2 linked regions of the Arabidopsis thaliana genome follow. The protein of the gene in region 2 interacts with the protein of the main gene of each other region in a pairwise test. Each region holds a gene or a part of one and is shown on either strand. Other genes may lie near its edges.

Region 1 (9,698 bases), on a different chromosome or scaffold from region 2:
TACGCGATGAGGAAGGGCAGATTCTTCTACTATGCAAAGGAGCTGACAGGTTAGCAATTTGTCACATTGACCACATCTAGAAGCTTATGTACAATAAATCTTTACTTTTATCAACTGTTTCTTCCTGAATTTTACAGCATCATCTTTGAGCGGTTGGCGAAGAATGGAAAGACATACTTGGGACCTACCACTAGGCATTTAACTGAATATGGAGAAGCCGGACTCCGTACACTCGCACTTGCTTACAGAAAGCTTGATGAGGATGAATATGCAGCTTGGAACTCTGAGTTTCTTAAGGCCAAAACTTCAATAGGATCTGATAGAGATGAGCTGCTTGAGACGGGAGCAGATATGATTGAGAAAGAACTTATCCTTATAGGAGCTACTGCTGTGGAGGACAAACTCCAGAAAGGGGTATGCATTGTTGCACAGACACACTAACGCCATATTTGTCTTGCTTATGTAAACTGAATTCCTTTTCTTTTTCATCTGACTTAGGTGCCCCAATGCATAGATAAACTTGCTCAAGCTGGGCTCAAGTTATGGGTTTTAACTGGGGACAAAATGGAAACTGCAATCAACATTGGGTTAGAATCTCTGATTTACCTTGAACATAAACTAGAAAGTATATCTGTAATCTGCTTTTATCCAGTGATTTTTATGCACAAATTCCCTTTTATGAACTGCAGATTCGCGTGTAGTTTACTACGACAAGGCATGAGACAGATCTGCATAACATCAATGAATTCAGAAGGAGGATCCCAAGATTCAAAAAGGGTATGTCTAATGGAGTTGCATGATGCATATTGCTAAAGTATGAATTTAAAGTTCCTTCAACTAAAATTTCGAACCTCACTCCTATATTTCTACTGATGTGTTAGGTTGTGAAAGAGAACATTTTGAATCAACTCACAAAAGCTGTACAAATGGTGAAGCTTGAGAAGGATCCGCATGCTGCATTTGCTTTGATTATTGACGGGAAAACTCTAACTTATGCCTTGGAGGATGATATGAAGTATCAATTCTTGGCTTTGGCAGTGGATTGTGCATCAGTCATTTGCTGTCGAGTGTCTCCCAAGCAGAAGGCTTTGGTATGTATATATATATATATCCTTCCCTTATTCGTTTCATCGCATTCCTCCTTGACTATGCAACTCCCGAAACTTCATACAAAAAAAAGAAAATCTAAATTTATCTATTTTGCTCTTTCCCAAATTCAAGGTTGTTAGGTTGGTTAAAGAGGGAACTGGAAAAACCACATTGGCAATAGGTGATGGTGCAAATGATGTTGGGATGATTCAAGAAGCTGACATTGGTGTAGGAATTAGTGGGGTTGAAGGAATGCAGGTTCAGTTTTTCTCTCAGCACCATGCCTTTTCTGTTTTTCAAGCCATGTTTTCTGTTTCTTGACTAGCAGAAAGTTCATTGAAAATCAAACCATGTCGACATTTTTGCTGATCCTTCTTACTTTTGCAGGCTGTTATGGCTAGTGACTTTTCGATTGCCCAGTTCCGGTTTCTGGAACGATTACTCGTCGTCCACGGACACTGGTGCTACAAAAGGATAGCTCAGATGGTAATATGTAGTTCTTTTGGCCATTTTAGTTACTCTTACATTTAGTTTGTTTCTAACCTTATGTTGTTCTACATCCAGATTTGCTATTTCTTCTACAAAAACATAGCATTTGGTCTCACTCTCTTCTACTTTGAGGCTTTCACCGGGTTTTCCGGGCAATCAGTATACAATGACTACTACTTGTTGCTCTTCAATGTTGTCCTTACCTCATTGCCAGTAATCGCCCTTGGTGTCTTTGAACAGGATGTTTCTTCCGAGATCTGCTTACAGGTAAGCTTTATAAATCTCCCTTCTTGAAAAGCTATTTCGAATCTCTGCTGATCATCGACAATAATCTGTGTTTTTTTCGCTTGTGCTTGTGTAGTTCCCAGCTTTATACCAACAAGGCACAAAGAACCTCTTCTTTGATTGGTCAAGAATACTTGGATGGATGTGCAATGGCGTCTATGCATCTCTTGTCATATTCTTCCTCAACATCGGAATCATTTACTCTCAAGCTTTCAGAGACAATGGCCAAACAGCTGACATGGATGCTGTTGGCACAACCATGTTCACTTGCATAATCTGGGCAGCTAATGTTCAAATCGCGTTAACCATGTCCCATTTCACTTGGATCCAACACGTTTTGATATGGGGAAGCATCGGTATGTGGTATCTCTTTGTGGCTATCTACAGTATGATGCCTCCGAGTTATTCTGGAAACATTTACAGGATTCTTGATGAGATTCTTGCTCCTGCACCTATCTACTGGATGGCTACATTGTTGGTCACAGTGGCTGCAGTTCTTCCTTACGTTGCTCACATTGCATTCCAGAGATTCTTGAATCCATTGGATCATCATATCATCCAAGAGATCAAATACTACGGAAGAGATATTGAAGATGCGAGATTGTGGACCCGAGAGCGTACAAAAGCCCGAGAAAAGACAAAGATCGGATTCACAGCTAGAGTCGATGCGAAAATCAGGCATCTAAGGTCGAAACTGAACAAGAAACAGTCAAATCTCTCACATTTTTCAGCTCAAGACGCAATGTCACCTAGATCATTGTAGCCTTGTATAGTGTTTGTTGTTTTTCTACAGGTCCAATTCTCTGATGCATCAGACTTTGGAGACAGGTCTTGAAGCTAATTTTGTTGAGAGTTTATAATAGAGTGAGATCATGTAAAGAGTAGCCTCTGATGTTTTTTCTACTTGTTGGGTTCGAATTTTTCTTTATCTTGTACACATTATACTTAGGTTTTGTGTATACTTAGGACAGAATGCAAAAAAACATAACAAAGAATCTTCCTTCTGTGCCTCTTCTGTGCCTCTTCTGTGCCTCTAATCATTTAATTGGTCATTTATATAAATTTGTTTATACAAAATCTGTTAAGTGAATCTTGACTTTAGAAAAAAAGAGAGAAATAACTCTCAATAGCAGTGATTTGTAAAATGATTTTCATTTCAACTAGAAATAACTCTCAATTTCATTTCATAAGTTTCCACAAAGAAATATTATAGAAATTGTTGCTTTAGTAAATGGTTTCGTATCCACCAATTGGCATTTAGGTAATTAGGTAATGAAATCTCCAACTTATTTGCGTGTCTGTTACTTTCTAGTTTCTAGTGACTTTAGAGATGAAGTGGTTGGCGAATAAATTAACTTACTTTATACTAATATATTAATTTTAATTTAATTAATTATTCTGGGCCGGGTTTTGCCCAATATGGGTTCAGTACGGCCCAACAACTCCGCAATTATTATTATTTTTCCATGGAGAAAATAAAAAAAGAAAAGAATAATAAGAGAGATTTGGTTAAAATGAGAGTGTAAGCAATTCTGAGTCTATCCCTTCCCTTTTGGGATATTTTCGCCGCGTGGATTGATATGACGACTCTCTTTCGCCGGAAGTCAATCGGAATCCGCGACAACTTCTTCCTTCAATCCCTTTGATTTTTTTTTGGCTCTACTTATCCCAAACCCTTCAAATCTTCAGGTCCAATCTCTTCTTCTATTTGTTTTTTAATTAAAAAAATCCGGCGAAAGGTGAAGCTCTTGGATTCGAGTGGTGGCTAGTAATCGATTTCGGTAGTTTAGAAGTAGTTTATAGGTTTTATCAGCTTTCGATTTGATGGAGCCGCGAGTCGGAAACAAGTTTCGGCTCGGAAGGAAGATCGGCGGTGGATCATTCGGAGAGATCTATCTTGGTATCCTCTTTATTCTGATTCACCTCTCGTTTGTGGTCTCTGTGACTGCGATGATTATATAAGTATTTGTTTTAACATGGTTTTTAGGTACCAATATCCAGACGAATGAAGAAGTGGCTATTAAACTTGTAAGTAATTCCTACTCAAAAAGTGGAACTTTATCATTTTCAGTGTTTAATTGAAGTACATAGAATTTAGTATTGCAATGTAAAGTCTGTACGTATATCTTCATTAAATAAAAGATTGAATTTTCTCGGAAAGTGGGAAGAAAGCTTTGATTGTTGTGAGTTGTGACTTATGTGTAGAAAGACTTCTGTTTATTGCTTGGTCTTTCTTAGCTTGTAGCTTCTCCTTTTACATGTTAAAATCGATCGGAATGAAAACGTTGGTGTACTGTGTTTAGACGAAAAAGGAATAGAATTTTATTTAACAGGCTACACACTGCTTTTTCTACTCTGATCATGCGATTGTTGCAATTTAGTTGAGTTCTTCCTTAAGCTTCCTCTTGATTATCTATGACTGTTTTCATTCAGTATTCAACATGATCAAACCAATATTTCTATAGTTTAAATCTGGGTTCAACCTGACTTTTCCGTAAGAACTGAGATCTATTATTGATTCTTGAGCAAATAGTCTAATTAATGCTGAATCAATTCTTAGAGTCCACGACAAAACTACCTGCAACTGGTGGGACCAACCTATTGAAAATTTTGTTGTGGCCTACAACTGGAGAATTATGAGGCTGACAGCTATACATATTACTGTATTGAACATTGGTTGTTTCTTTTTTCTGTTACCTGTTTGTACTGGTTCTGACTGTTGAGTATGTTAAATCAAATCCTCATGCTTGTTTCACATTTCTTTTTTTGCTCTGAAATGTAACAGATTTATCGTAGTTTGGCTACTGTGTTTGTTGTATATGTTCTGACGGCATCTTTTCTTCTTGTTTCAGGAAAATGTGAAAACTAAGCATCCTCAGTTGCTGTATGAATCAAAGTTGTACAAAGTATTACAAGGAGGAAGTATGGATCTAGTTCTGTACTTGTTTACATTTGTAGTTTGTGATGTCTTTTTTCTTATCCAAGAGGGGTTGCTTTCCTTTCCTTGATTTCTAGCTGGCGTTCCAAACGTTAAATGGTATGGTGTTGAAGGGGACTATAATGTCCTCGTGATAGACTTGTTGGGGCCTAGCCTTGAAGATCTATTCAATTTCTGTAGTAGGAAACTCTCACTAAAGACTGTACTAATGCTTGCAGATCAAATGGTAGGATCCCGTCTATAGCCTGAAAATTGTGTTCTCATGTTGAATAAACGTTTAGGATATCTTTGTTCCTCTTTCAGATCAATCGCATTGAGTTTGTACATCAGAAGTCATTTCTACATCGGGACATCAAGCCTGACAACTTTCTGATGGGTCTTGGAAGGCGTGCAAATCAGGTAGCTGTTGAAAAGGGCTGTTAGTAAAATTTGTTTATTCTCCAGAATTATTTGTTCAACGATTTGTTGACTGAATACAGGTATACGTCATCGACTTTGGTCTGGCAAAGAAGTACAGAGACTCAAATCATCAGCATATTCCATATAGGTTGGTTATAGCCCTATGATTTTCTTTGGGTCTGTTATTTATTTACGCCTATGTAGACTTTTTAAAAAAAAAAATCTTTTACTAGCTTGTGTGACTGTTGTCTAACTTAAAATTCTTCTATGTAACACATCCCTGTAAAAGGGTGGAGTCATCTTTATCCTCAGGATATATGGCTATTCAGGATAACTGTCGTTTTAGTATTGACTCAGGATATATAGCTTATTTCCCCTTTTTTTACGAAGATGCATTAGTATATGAGAAAATCATTTTAATGTATTGCTAGGAAGTATGATTGCAGTATATGATGTTTCTTCATATCAATTATAATTCTAATATTTTGTGTATCACAGGGAAAACAAAAACTTGACTGGAACTGCTAGATACGCTAGCATGAACACTCACCTTGGCATTGGTAATACCAGTTCATTTAGTTTCTAACTTTCTAATTATTTTAAAGAACGTAATTCTGGATAGGTAATTGCTATTTTATTACAGAACAAAGTCGTAGAGATGATTTGGAGTCACTTGGATTCGTTCTCATGTACTTCTTAAAAGGAAGGTATGTACCTCTCTTCCGTACCTGTTGGCATGTTGCTATTGGTTCTTTTTCGGCGGCATTTGGCTTACTTATCCAATGTAATGCAGTCTTCCTTGGCAAGGACTGAAAGCTGGCAATAAGAAGCAAAAGTATGAGAAAATCAGTGAAAAGAAAGTATCGACATCTATTGAGGTAAAATAATGTTCTGATACCTGTGTTGGTGACACCTATGGTTTAATACTGATTAAATATTCTATTCTTCTTTTAGGCTTTATGCCGAGGTTATCCATCTGAATTTGCATCTTATTTCCATTATTGCCGTTCTCTGAGATTTGACGACAAGCCAGACTATGCCTACCTGAAACGGCTTTTCCGCGACCTGTTTATTCGTGAAGGTTTGGTCCCCTCAATCACTTATGTTAATTCTAGTCTTGTGAAGCAAATATAACTTGGACCAGTTAATCAACATGTTAATTTGAGTTTGCGTCATCTGCTTATATTAGGCTTCCAGTTTGATTATGTATTTGATTGGACGATCTTGAAGTATCAGCAATCACAGATTTCTACTCCTCCTCCTCGTCATCATGTAAGAATCAGTTTTTCTTTTCCGAATGTCATCGTCCTACTTAAACTCTGCTGAATATGTACCTTTCTTCCAGGGTCCTGTAGTTGGGCCAAGCTCTGCCCTCCCCCCTGCCATTACCAGTGCTGAGAGGCCATCAGGTAGTTCCATCTATTTCGAGTAGTTTTTTTCCAAATTTCATTACGCATTTGGCTATGTTACTCTGTTCTATAGGGGCATGGTTTTCACCCATCTGATGTGTTCTTTGCAGGTGGCGACGAAGCTAGACCTTCTGGCTGGTCATCAGGAATCCCTAGACGAAATTCTGGACAAATTTTTAACTCAGGAAGCTTAGCTAAACAAAAAGCACCAGTTTCAAGTGATCCTGCAATATCTAAAGATGTAGTGGTGAGTACATAAAATTACCCCCCATGTTACAGGTATCCAATTCTTTAGCTGCTGATTTGAAGAAATAAACATAAGGTTCTGTATTGCTTGTATACACAAGGATTGGCAGCTGAATTTTAGTTTCTTGGATTCTTGTTCTTTGTATTAATGGTAACTGAGCTGTTTGTTTTTCTTGTGACAGTTATCAAGCTCTAGCTTTCTCCGCGCAACTGGGTCATCAAGACGTGCTGCTGTATCCAGTAGTCGCGAAGCTGCAGTTCTGGGAACTGATTCTGAGCCATCAAACCCTCAAATCGTTGAAGCTGGATCAGGCTCCAATTCAAAGATCCCTGTTAGTCGAAACTCACCTATCGTCTCATCTGAGATCAACAAGCTATCATCACCTTCAAGGGCGACTACTTCAGTCATGAAGAACTATGAGGCTAATCTTAAAGGGATCGAGAGTCTGCATTTTTAGTCGTTGGGGCCAGTGAATGATCTTGAAACCCCGGGACAAGTGTAAATTAAAAGACAAAGATGACCTCTCTTAGGCCCTCCTCATGTTTTACGTGCATTTGTGTTTACAGGGAGGGAGACTTGTGCCTCTAAGCACACACTCTAATAACATAGATAAGGAAAAGACTCTGAAGAAGTGATTTTCAGAGAAAGACAAACTCAAAAGAGGGCGAGACTAAAAAGTCAAAAGACTTTTAACACTTTTATTCCCCATTTGGTTTTACACTGTTTATGTTGTGTTTGTCTTGTTTGGTACTGCAACAGCTAAAATCGTTTGTGCTTCAAAAAGGTTTTAAGTTCTTAGAACTATTCCTCGGGCTGCAAAAAAACGTACAAAAGAAAGAAGGTTTTATATTGAGTATCTTCTCATATGGTGTGGGTAAAAATGGTCATTTTTGTTGGTAAAAATAGTGAAATGAGAGCTATAATTCATGGACAGATGCAATAATTGTTCTGGTCTTCCTTAAAGAGGATCTGAGAGTTGCATCTTCTGGTTATGTCATACTTCATCATGTCTACGAATGAATCAATGAAGTATATTGTAAATGCTAAATCGTATTTATCGTAGCTTAAGTTGTTACAGCAATCATCATACTTAGAAGGGTACCCTACTTAGAACAAGAATAAAAACAGACAAGTTCAATGGGGGAAACAAGAGAAGAAGATTGGGAAGATTTGTGGTTGGATCACCACAAACCATAGACAGCGTTTGAACAAGTCTCCTTGAACCATTTGAAGCTTTTCTTCATAGATCCTTTCACTCTCCCTTCAACACCATACACATTATAAGAAGCCACTCTCTTCTTCCTCTGAATCTCTGCCTCACACAAACCCTTAAATCCTTTCTTCTTCACCTTATTGCTTCTCTTCGATTTATTGTTGGAGTCGTCTCTCACAATTGTTGGATTCTGGTATGCATTATAAGTTGATGTACTGTAAGATCTCATCATCACTGGTGGCTGCTGGTTTGTTGGTTCTGATTCTGATTTTTCTCCATGACTGAAGCAATGGTACTTGTTGGTGATGCTGCTACTTCTGGTCTCTTCTCTGCATGACTTAGATCTGAACATCTTCACTTGCAAACAAACCTCAAAAAAAGATTGCTCTGCTTTTTTAGGAAGAAAAAGGAGATAGTTGCTTTTGGGTTTTATCTCCAACCTCTTTCTCTTCTGCTTTTTGTCACTTGCGAGTTTTTGACATATTTATAGAATGAGACATCACCTCTATATCTTGTTCAATATTTAGTGCAGTAATCACAACCTCAATACTGTATCTATTTAGTTACTCGAAGTTTTTTTTGTTTGTATATTGTTTTAGATGAGATTTGTTTGTTACATTTAAAAAAAAAACATTACTAGCGATTAGTTATCACTGTACTTAGTACAGTTTTGCATATTTATTTTTCCTAAGAAAATTTTGTAAGATCTCATGTCCTTTGGATTTACACATGGCCGCTTCTCACTTCATGAATTCGAGGGAAATTTTTGGGGCTCGTCCCCAACCTTATGTAGTATATATTTATTGTAAATTCAAGAGTAGAAAACTAGAAAATCAACAAAAGTTCATTAATGAAACTCAAGTAGAGAAAAGTCTTTAGTCTCATAGAGTATCCTTCCTTGTAAGCCACGTTCACAAAAAGATAAATAATGCCGAAATTCTTGATTGCCAAAAAAGCAAAATCATGTAATGAGTTATGTTCGCTTTTAGCCAAGAACTATAAATCTAAGTAGTAGCCTGAAAACAAAAATCAAAGCATAGAGAAGCTGCCAAAAAAAGGGGTAAACACAGCACTTTCTCAGTAAAAAACAGAAAAAAGAAAGGCTTCAGAGAAGATCAGCAACATTGCTTGGCAACTCCTCAACGACCACATTGTAAAACCTCTGAATATCAGCCATCATTCTCTCATCCTCCGATGTCATGAAATTGATTGCTACTCCCTTTCTCCCAAACCTTCCACTTCTTCCAATACGATGAAGGTAATTCTCCGGTTGGGTTGGGAGGTCAAAGTTTATGACCAGAGAGACTTGCTGAACATCGATACCACGAGCAAGGAGGTCAGTGGTTATGAGGACACGGGAAGACCCAGAGCGGAATTCGCGCATGATGATGTCTCTTGTGTTCTGGTCCATGTCTCCGTGTGTAGCTGAAACAGTGTGGTCACGGCTTCTCATTTTGTCGGTTAGCCAATCAACCTTACGCCTTGTGTTCACAAAGATGACGCTTTGAGTGATGGCCAGTGTCTCGTAGAGATCGCATAGTGTCTCGAGTTTCCACTCTTCCTTGTCTACATTGACATAAAACTGCTTGATACCTTCAAGAGTCAGCTCGTCTCGCTTGACCAGAATCC
Region 2 (7,410 bases):
AATAAAATTGGCAAAATAAGATATACACTCTTGAAAGATATATATAATCTGTTAAAGAGTAATGGGTCAAATACATGAGGGTGTCATCGGTAGGTAACTTGGTATAAGTTTCTATGGATGTATGATAAGGATTATAGTGGATCACCTTACCTCAATGTAATATTTTTGTAGCATAGTTCGAAAATGGTACCATAAACCTACTACATCTTCACCAAGCTATCATGTTCATTCTATAAAATTCTTTATGTTTTCTTTGGTAGAACTATTAATTCTTTATGTTGTTTTGACTAAGTTGCCGATATAAAAATCTCGAAAGAGTAAAACAGGCATTATGATTGTTTTAGTATATGCTCGAAATTAAGTAAATCTGAATGGCTTATCAATATAACTGGTTTGAGATTTGTTAAGAGAAAATATAATAGAAGTGGAGAGGGATGACATGAACCAAATTTGTTTTATAAATTATTATAAATTCATGATCAAATTGCAATTAGTGATACCATGTGAAACATTCTTTAATGTTATATGGATGAAACATCCAATTGAAATATTTCTAAGGTTTAGATATATATTTGTTTATAATATGCAACCTGAATTATTCATGGAATGCAAATGTTGTTAGTGACTTAAATGAATAAATGGTAATGAATGTCCAGGCACCCCATAGTGCACATATTACATTTTGTATCATACATGGTTTTTTAATTTATATATCGTGTTGTGTGAAAACGTGCTATCGATATCTCTCTCTCTTAAAGCTTTGTTCATTATATATGGGTTTAACAGTCAAATTTCTATTATGTGTAAACAATGGTAAATTTGTCAGCCTTTCAAATTCTGGATTAGTTTTAAATGACTCGAAGCAGTATTTTAATTATATTGTAATGTTATGTTGACCGAATCTTTATTTTGTATCCTATTGTATTATAGTAATACTTATATCCTTTAAATACAGAGGCATGGTTAATCTTAATCGTATGATATTTACATGCAATGATCATTTTAATACTCCTAAATTTCTATAGTATTAAATAGTTAACTCCAATTTATCAAAACTCAAACTTATATGAAAACATAAATTCGGACTGACTATAATCAAATTCTAAAACTAAAGCTTGAACTACTTACATCACCTAAAACTCTCCAAATCAACCAATCTAGAAAAAATATTTGCTTGAATGGGATGTCACCACCTAAACCTCGCCTAACCGAACCAACTTAACTAAAAATTAGCCATTACTAGACATATTTTCTTACAACAATTTTAACAAAAAATGTAAAGAAAAAACTTTGTACTTTACAATGTAGTCACCTAAACCATGAAGAAATTGTTCCTTGAATGATCGAGATGTTAATCACCTAATACATTCCTAACCAAAATAACCTAACTAGAGTTGGAACTTGAAAACATAATAAACTATGCCTTAAATTTTCACATACTGATATTCTAAAACCAAAAGAAAAAATAGCATTTTACATTTTTACTTCATTCACAAATTTTGTTAGATTAATAGGAAAAACAAATTAGCATGAGTAGATTCTAGACCTTTTAACTTTTGTACTTTAAAGAGGCTCCATGCATATCTTTATAGGCGTGCACATATGCCCCAATATATTCTCATCTTATTTCACACTCTTCAATTCTTCTTCCTTAACCATAATCATCAATTACTTCAACATTTATGAAAGAAAAAAACGTATATCTGTAGATGAGCCTACATAGTAATAAACATCATAATGTTGCCAAGAAAGAGAGTCATTGAGACAAATATTTTCCCAACAAATGACTTCAATTTAAGATATGGCAATGTTCTTGAATTTGTAAGAAAACCAAATTTAAAATAAAAATAAAACAACAACTCCTATGAAGAAATTCACATCTTTTGGAATCTCTCAATATTAAATCACAACTCCAACCAAAAAAAAAAAAGAATGTAAGAAAGAAAATAAAATCTATACTCCTCCCAAGAAGAAATTGTAAGTTCAAAAAAAAAAAAAACCCCATAAAAATATCTCAAATATTAAAAACAGAATCAATCAATCAATAACCTTTTTCTTGTAAATCTCAAAAAAAAATTGAGTTTTTTTTTTATAATGTTTTTCAAGTCTTACAGGCGTAAATGAAGAGAGAGAAGTCAAGCTTGTCTTGTTGATCTTTCTTAACAATCTTCTCTTCTAACCAAAGCCTGCTGCTGTCTAAACCATTCCTTGTCCTAAACATGAACACAGCTCTTCCACAAGCTCCTTGATTACTAAAGAACCAATCATGAACATCCCACATCAGATCCACAAGCAATCCATCCAAGAAAATCGTTTGATTCCCTCTGAAATTCCATTGAAGCCTCTTCACTTTTATCACCGTCTTCTTATCAATACAAACAGAGAGAACAGGGTAATGATTGCTCTGTTTTAGACCCTCTGTTTCTTTATTACATCTGATGACGATTTCATGTGAATCTCCTGTCTCAACGAATCTTACTTTAGTCGAGTAAAAAGTATTGTTCCCTGTGAAATGTTCTTGTCGAGAAACAAGAGAGAAATCGAAACCGATATCGCCGGAGAAACCTTTTTTACGGAGAGTTTCTTCAGATGAATCTCCAAGAAGAAGACCCATTTGACCATCAACGAGGACGATAACGTAGAAGCCATTGATAGGTTCAGGACCACACAAGTTAGAATCATATTTAGCTGAAGAAAGATCCCAAAAAACCTCGATTTTACCGAGATCGGAATCAACCGATTTGTTACCTTTCTTCTTACGGAAGAAACGAGAAGAAGTGTTGAGTTTGAGAGTTGTTGAAGGGTTTTGATCTGCGGATGCAACAGAGATGCTTAAGCCATTGTTGTTGTGTGGATTGCACCATGTGACTTTGATGATGAGATGTTTCGATAAAGTGATTCTGTAGATGCTTGTAATGGAGGTTTGTATTGATGGTATGAGAGATGGTGAGATACAAACATTGTTGGTACTGTATTTTGAACATGATGATGATGAAGATGATATTGATAAGGGATGTGTCACGTTTATTGAGTTCTCACTGAAACATGACACCAAATCTCTCATTTTCTTAGGAAAAAATTGTAACAGAAAAAATGAGATTTTCTTGGGAAAGAAATGAGATTTTCCCAAGATGGGTTTTGTTTGCTTGCTTGTTGAGACAACAAAGTGTGTTTCTCTTTTACTTTGAGAATACTTTGAGAATCAAAAAGATCAAATGTTGTTGAGAAGAAGAAGAAGAATGAGAGAGTTAACAAATCTGGGTTTTTGTAGGTTAAAGATTTGAGTTGCTTTCTTTTTATTTCTTCTCTGATTCTCTTTTTTTTTCTTAATGAGAGAGAGGGAGAGAGAGAAATGGATTAAGGTCTCTGTGTGTGTGCTAAGAAGAGAGTGGAGGTGAAAGGAGCCGAATTTAAGTAGTTTTGAGCTTTCATTGTCTAGGGGACACAAATTTGATGTTGATATTTTTTTTATTTTTTTTTATTGTATAGTTGTATGCTAACTAATTTTAAAAGTTTTTGTACTTTAATATTTTATTTTTTATTAATAAATTTCTAAAGGGAATTGAAATTTGGTGTTACTCAAATATGACTTTTTGATTAACTTAAAATTGTTTATGATACATTTGTAAAGTTTCTATAAGAGAATTTAAGGTTTATGATTTTTATATAGATCAAAATGATAAACATATACTAATTTAGGAAAAATATTAGTGTATATATAGATTGAAAAAATGTCTGAATTTACAGATAGAGGAATTCTTCTAATATAATGATGGTCAAAGCAACTCTCAGTTAATATAGACATAATATAATCGTTATAATTAGTGAGAATTTGTTTTGAACCATCCATATTTTAAGAAACCGTCATATAATTAAAGGAAGGTTCGTAATGTAGTAATTACGAATACGTTTTTCTTTTTTCTTTTGTAGTTCCATACATCGGAGTCAAGTCGAGAGTTACAATTTATAGACGAAAAAAAAAAAAAAGTTTCAGGCAGCTAAAACTACTACCAATAATAGACTTGTTGCAAAAATAAAAATAAAATGTTTTTACTTATATTTATTTAAAAATATCCTTAATCCGTTTTGAAGAATCGGATATATTAGGAGTTTGTATACAGAATCTACTAATAAAATTTTGGATCAGAAGGATTACATATATGAATATGTCAAGAATATAAAAATATATAACAAGAAATTAGAGTTACACTCTTAGAAAATTTTACAGAACAAGTTTATGTTTTTTTTTGTCTTTTAAATTATTTCATGAACCTGCTTAACTGGGATATCTTAAATCTAATCCAATTCACTCCAATAAAACAGATATCCAATCTATTTGGAAGTAGGTTTGAATTGGTTGGATCCAAGGTGAAATTATATATATATATATATACGGTTCATGTTTTTTTTTTTTTGGTAGTAGAAATGGCATTTTAAAAGCAAGATACTAGAGAAGTGACTGTGATTGTGATCTACTGGTGTTCATAAATTGATACCACCTCACCTGAGATTGAGTCTCCTTCTCATACGATAGAGTTCATTGGGATAATAAACTGACATGTTGTGCCCATATAGACTAAAAAAGCAAATCAATAAAGCTTCATAGAAGTTAACAAACAAAAGAAGTAAACCCGGATATAATGGTCTCGGAACAAATCGGATCGGATCTAAGAGAGGAATTGTGAGCCGGTTGTACAAATTCTCTTAACCGCCAAATGTTGGAACTTCGTTTATTTGCCTGTGTTGGCCTAGATTTTCTCCAAATTTTGATTATTCAAACTCTTGAAATGATATAGAAGTGTTTTAGCCAAAACAATTAGCCCAATTTATTACTTCTCTTTTATCACCTATACATTAATAATAAAATTTTAGAATAAACTTTTTAGTTGGGTTACCAAATCCAGAGGGAACAAAATTTCAAAAGAACGAGACCGTCTGCTTTAAAAATTGAAGGAACGAGAGATTATTTAAAGACAACAAATTTAAGAAAATAAACTTGAGGCAAACCAAACTATTTTCCTTCTTAAATTCTTGAGATACATTATCTTATCGAAGTGAGCTCCATCTCTTCTATTGACGCCCGCCATGAAATGATATTCAACTATATATTGCATCGATAATATATTATATGACATAAGTAATACAAATATTCAAAATAAATGATATAAAATTCTTTTTTTGGTAGTGATATATGGGGTTCTGCATCCGATCCGGTTTTGATGAAATTCTTAATCTTAACCTATTATGCGAACACTCAGCAAAATCCAACTCGTATTAACACGTTAGTACTATTTTATAATCAGAATTTTAAAAATAAATAAATACTATCATAGCTATAATGAAACAAACTAAGCCAATAAACATAGAAAGGAACACGGTTGCTTTGTTTGTCGTGACATTTGGGTGTGGACTTTGGACATATTTAAAATCCAGCCAACCTAGAAAAATTATATTATCACTAGATGTCTCTTGTCGAGCATAAATTCCATTATAAGAACTCATAAAAGATGTCTAATATGTTTATATAAATGTTCATGTATAGCCTGATTTTTGGAATGGCCAAGATCGCAAAATATGTTCTATTATATCCACTATAAAAAAGAAGAGTTAAAACCACTCGAAACAGCGAAAATGTAAAGTGAAACATTTTGCATTTCATTCATTCGTTCAATCAAAATATTTGCAGATTCTTTTTTCTTTTTCTCTTTTAATACCGTACTGTTACACTGGTATCGAAATACTACCGTATCAACTTGCAAAATGATTATAACTTATAAGCATTCAGTAGAAATCATTTATTTTTGTTAAACAGTAGAAATCATTTTTTCGATCCCGAAACGAGATGATGAAACTAATCACTGACAACCATTTTGTGAGTTTTAGTTATTGTATCCTAAACATTTTGATGGAAACATGAGGGTTCTTTAATAATTAAGAATGATGACCATTTCTATCAATTACTAATTTAATCAATTAAAACCTTTTCTATGCGTTCGTTATCGGTTTTGGGCGAAAATAATTATTTGGTGTTATAATAAAATAAGAAAGTAAAAGTTTATAAAGACAGCCTAACATATGGAGATCCGAATAATAGGTATCTTGCTTTTGGAGCTTTCTGATTATTTAATCAAAATGTTTTCAACTTATGTTCGATCTGGATTTTATAATAATTAAGATTCTAATCTGTGCAATAATAAGGTATTTCTTTTTCTTTTGAAATAGGCCACATATAGGAAAAAAGTTCTTGAGTGTAATCATATTGCTGATCGCAAACTATTCATATTCATATTTAGTGACATATAAAGCAAATCAAGGCCAATATGACCTCGAAAATCTATGCAAATAACTTAATAGACTGTTAACAAAATGTGTCAGTATTTATTTTCTTATACATCTCAGTCAAACATAGGAAACTAGGATTTTACACTTATTATTATACTTTGCCCAAAAAAAAGCAAAAAAAAAACAAAACAAAAACTTATAATTACACTATTTTTTTGGTGCTATACAATTCACAACATGTTTCTGTTTCTAAGTTTCTAAACTCATACTACACGTCTCTGACAAATACATGTAGGTCTTTTAATCAAAAATAAAATAAAAATAAAAACGTTTTCCCATACTGTAGTTATATCAATATGTTTTGATTGTTTTCTATTGTTCAAATGTCGTCGTGTTTTTGGAGTAGTTCGTTGCTGGGAAAGTTCTTTAATTACGTGATTATGTGGGCAAGTCAAGCCGTTGACCTAGACACCTAGTTAAGAGAAGGATGATTTGGTATATATATATATATATTTGACATTATGAATTCATAAAGAACTTAGTGAATATACATAACATAATGTATTTAATTGGTATAGATGCATTGTAGAGAAGTTACATTCAATTGAGAGGTCAATGCTATTGGGTTCATAAAACTTGAGAAACAAAATAGAAATGTCATGTGGCTGCATGTGATTAGAAGGTACGTCGAAATCAATTCCATTCCATGAGTCTATTCTCCTACTGTCCTTTTATTTTGGGTAGTATTGTAGTGGTTTAAGACTTTTTTACAAACTTAAATATTATTAATTTAGACATACATACATGGCCCCAATTTTAATTTAATAAGTAGAAGATAACATTCTAATTAATAATTAGGGGAACTAAAAAAGGGGGAAGAAGCTTTGGTGTAAAACGATGATGAAACAAAGCTTGCCTGATAACAACAACATTATATATGATTTCTTTTAACAATACCAAATGTCAGCATCAATTACCAAAATCCAGTAAGATGAATGGGTCTATGATGGGCATATTTTCACAAGTTGAAAACATGTTTAAAATAGTGACAGAATAATAATGTTTGGTTAATTTCCATCTAGTCTCTGTTAATTTCTACAAACATTAAGTTCAATGACTAGGTTTGTG

Evidence for each region. The genes of interacting proteins can lie anywhere in the genome.
Region 1: the proteins of AT2G27770 (region 2) and CKL2 interact in a two-hybrid assay, tested with the Arabidopsis thaliana proteins (one large-scale study listed by BioGRID).

Annotation. Positions count from the first base shown.
Region 1 is NC_003070.9:27,368,866-27,378,563, forward strand, and holds CKL2 (casein kinase 1-like protein 2), read left to right. Parts: upstream 1-3,331; 5' UTR 3,332-3,687; coding exon 3,688-3,763; intron 3,764-3,850; coding exon 3,851-3,891; intron 3,892-4,715; coding exon 4,716-4,785; intron 4,786-4,878; coding exon 4,879-5,027; intron 5,028-5,104; coding exon 5,105-5,200; intron 5,201-5,280; coding exon 5,281-5,348; intron 5,349-5,698; coding exon 5,699-5,760; intron 5,761-5,843; coding exon 5,844-5,907; intron 5,908-5,993; coding exon 5,994-6,078; intron 6,079-6,154; coding exon 6,155-6,281; intron 6,282-6,389; coding exon 6,390-6,472; intron 6,473-6,545; coding exon 6,546-6,609; intron 6,610-6,719; coding exon 6,720-6,856; intron 6,857-7,037; coding exon 7,038-7,313; 3' UTR 7,314-7,865; downstream 7,866-9,698. Other genes in the region: AT1G72700 (ATPase E1-E2 type family protein / haloacid dehalogenase-like hydrolase family protein), read left to right, coding at 1-49, 138-414, 499-587, 690-777, 882-1,091, 1,222-1,347, 1,477-1,575, 1,654-1,845 and 1 more; AT1G72720 (hypothetical protein (DUF3511)), read right to left, coding at 8,038-8,421; AT1G72730 (DEA(D/H)-box RNA helicase family protein), read right to left, coding at 9,175-9,698. UniProt on the Arabidopsis thaliana protein: Casein kinases are operationally defined by their preferential utilization of acidic proteins such as caseins as substrates. It can phosphorylate a large number of proteins.
Region 2 is NC_003071.7:11,830,988-11,838,397, forward strand, and holds AT2G27770 (DUF868 family protein (DUF868)), read right to left. Parts: upstream 3,441-7,410; 5' UTR 3,065-3,440; coding exon 2,102-3,064; 3' UTR 1,556-2,101; downstream 1-1,555.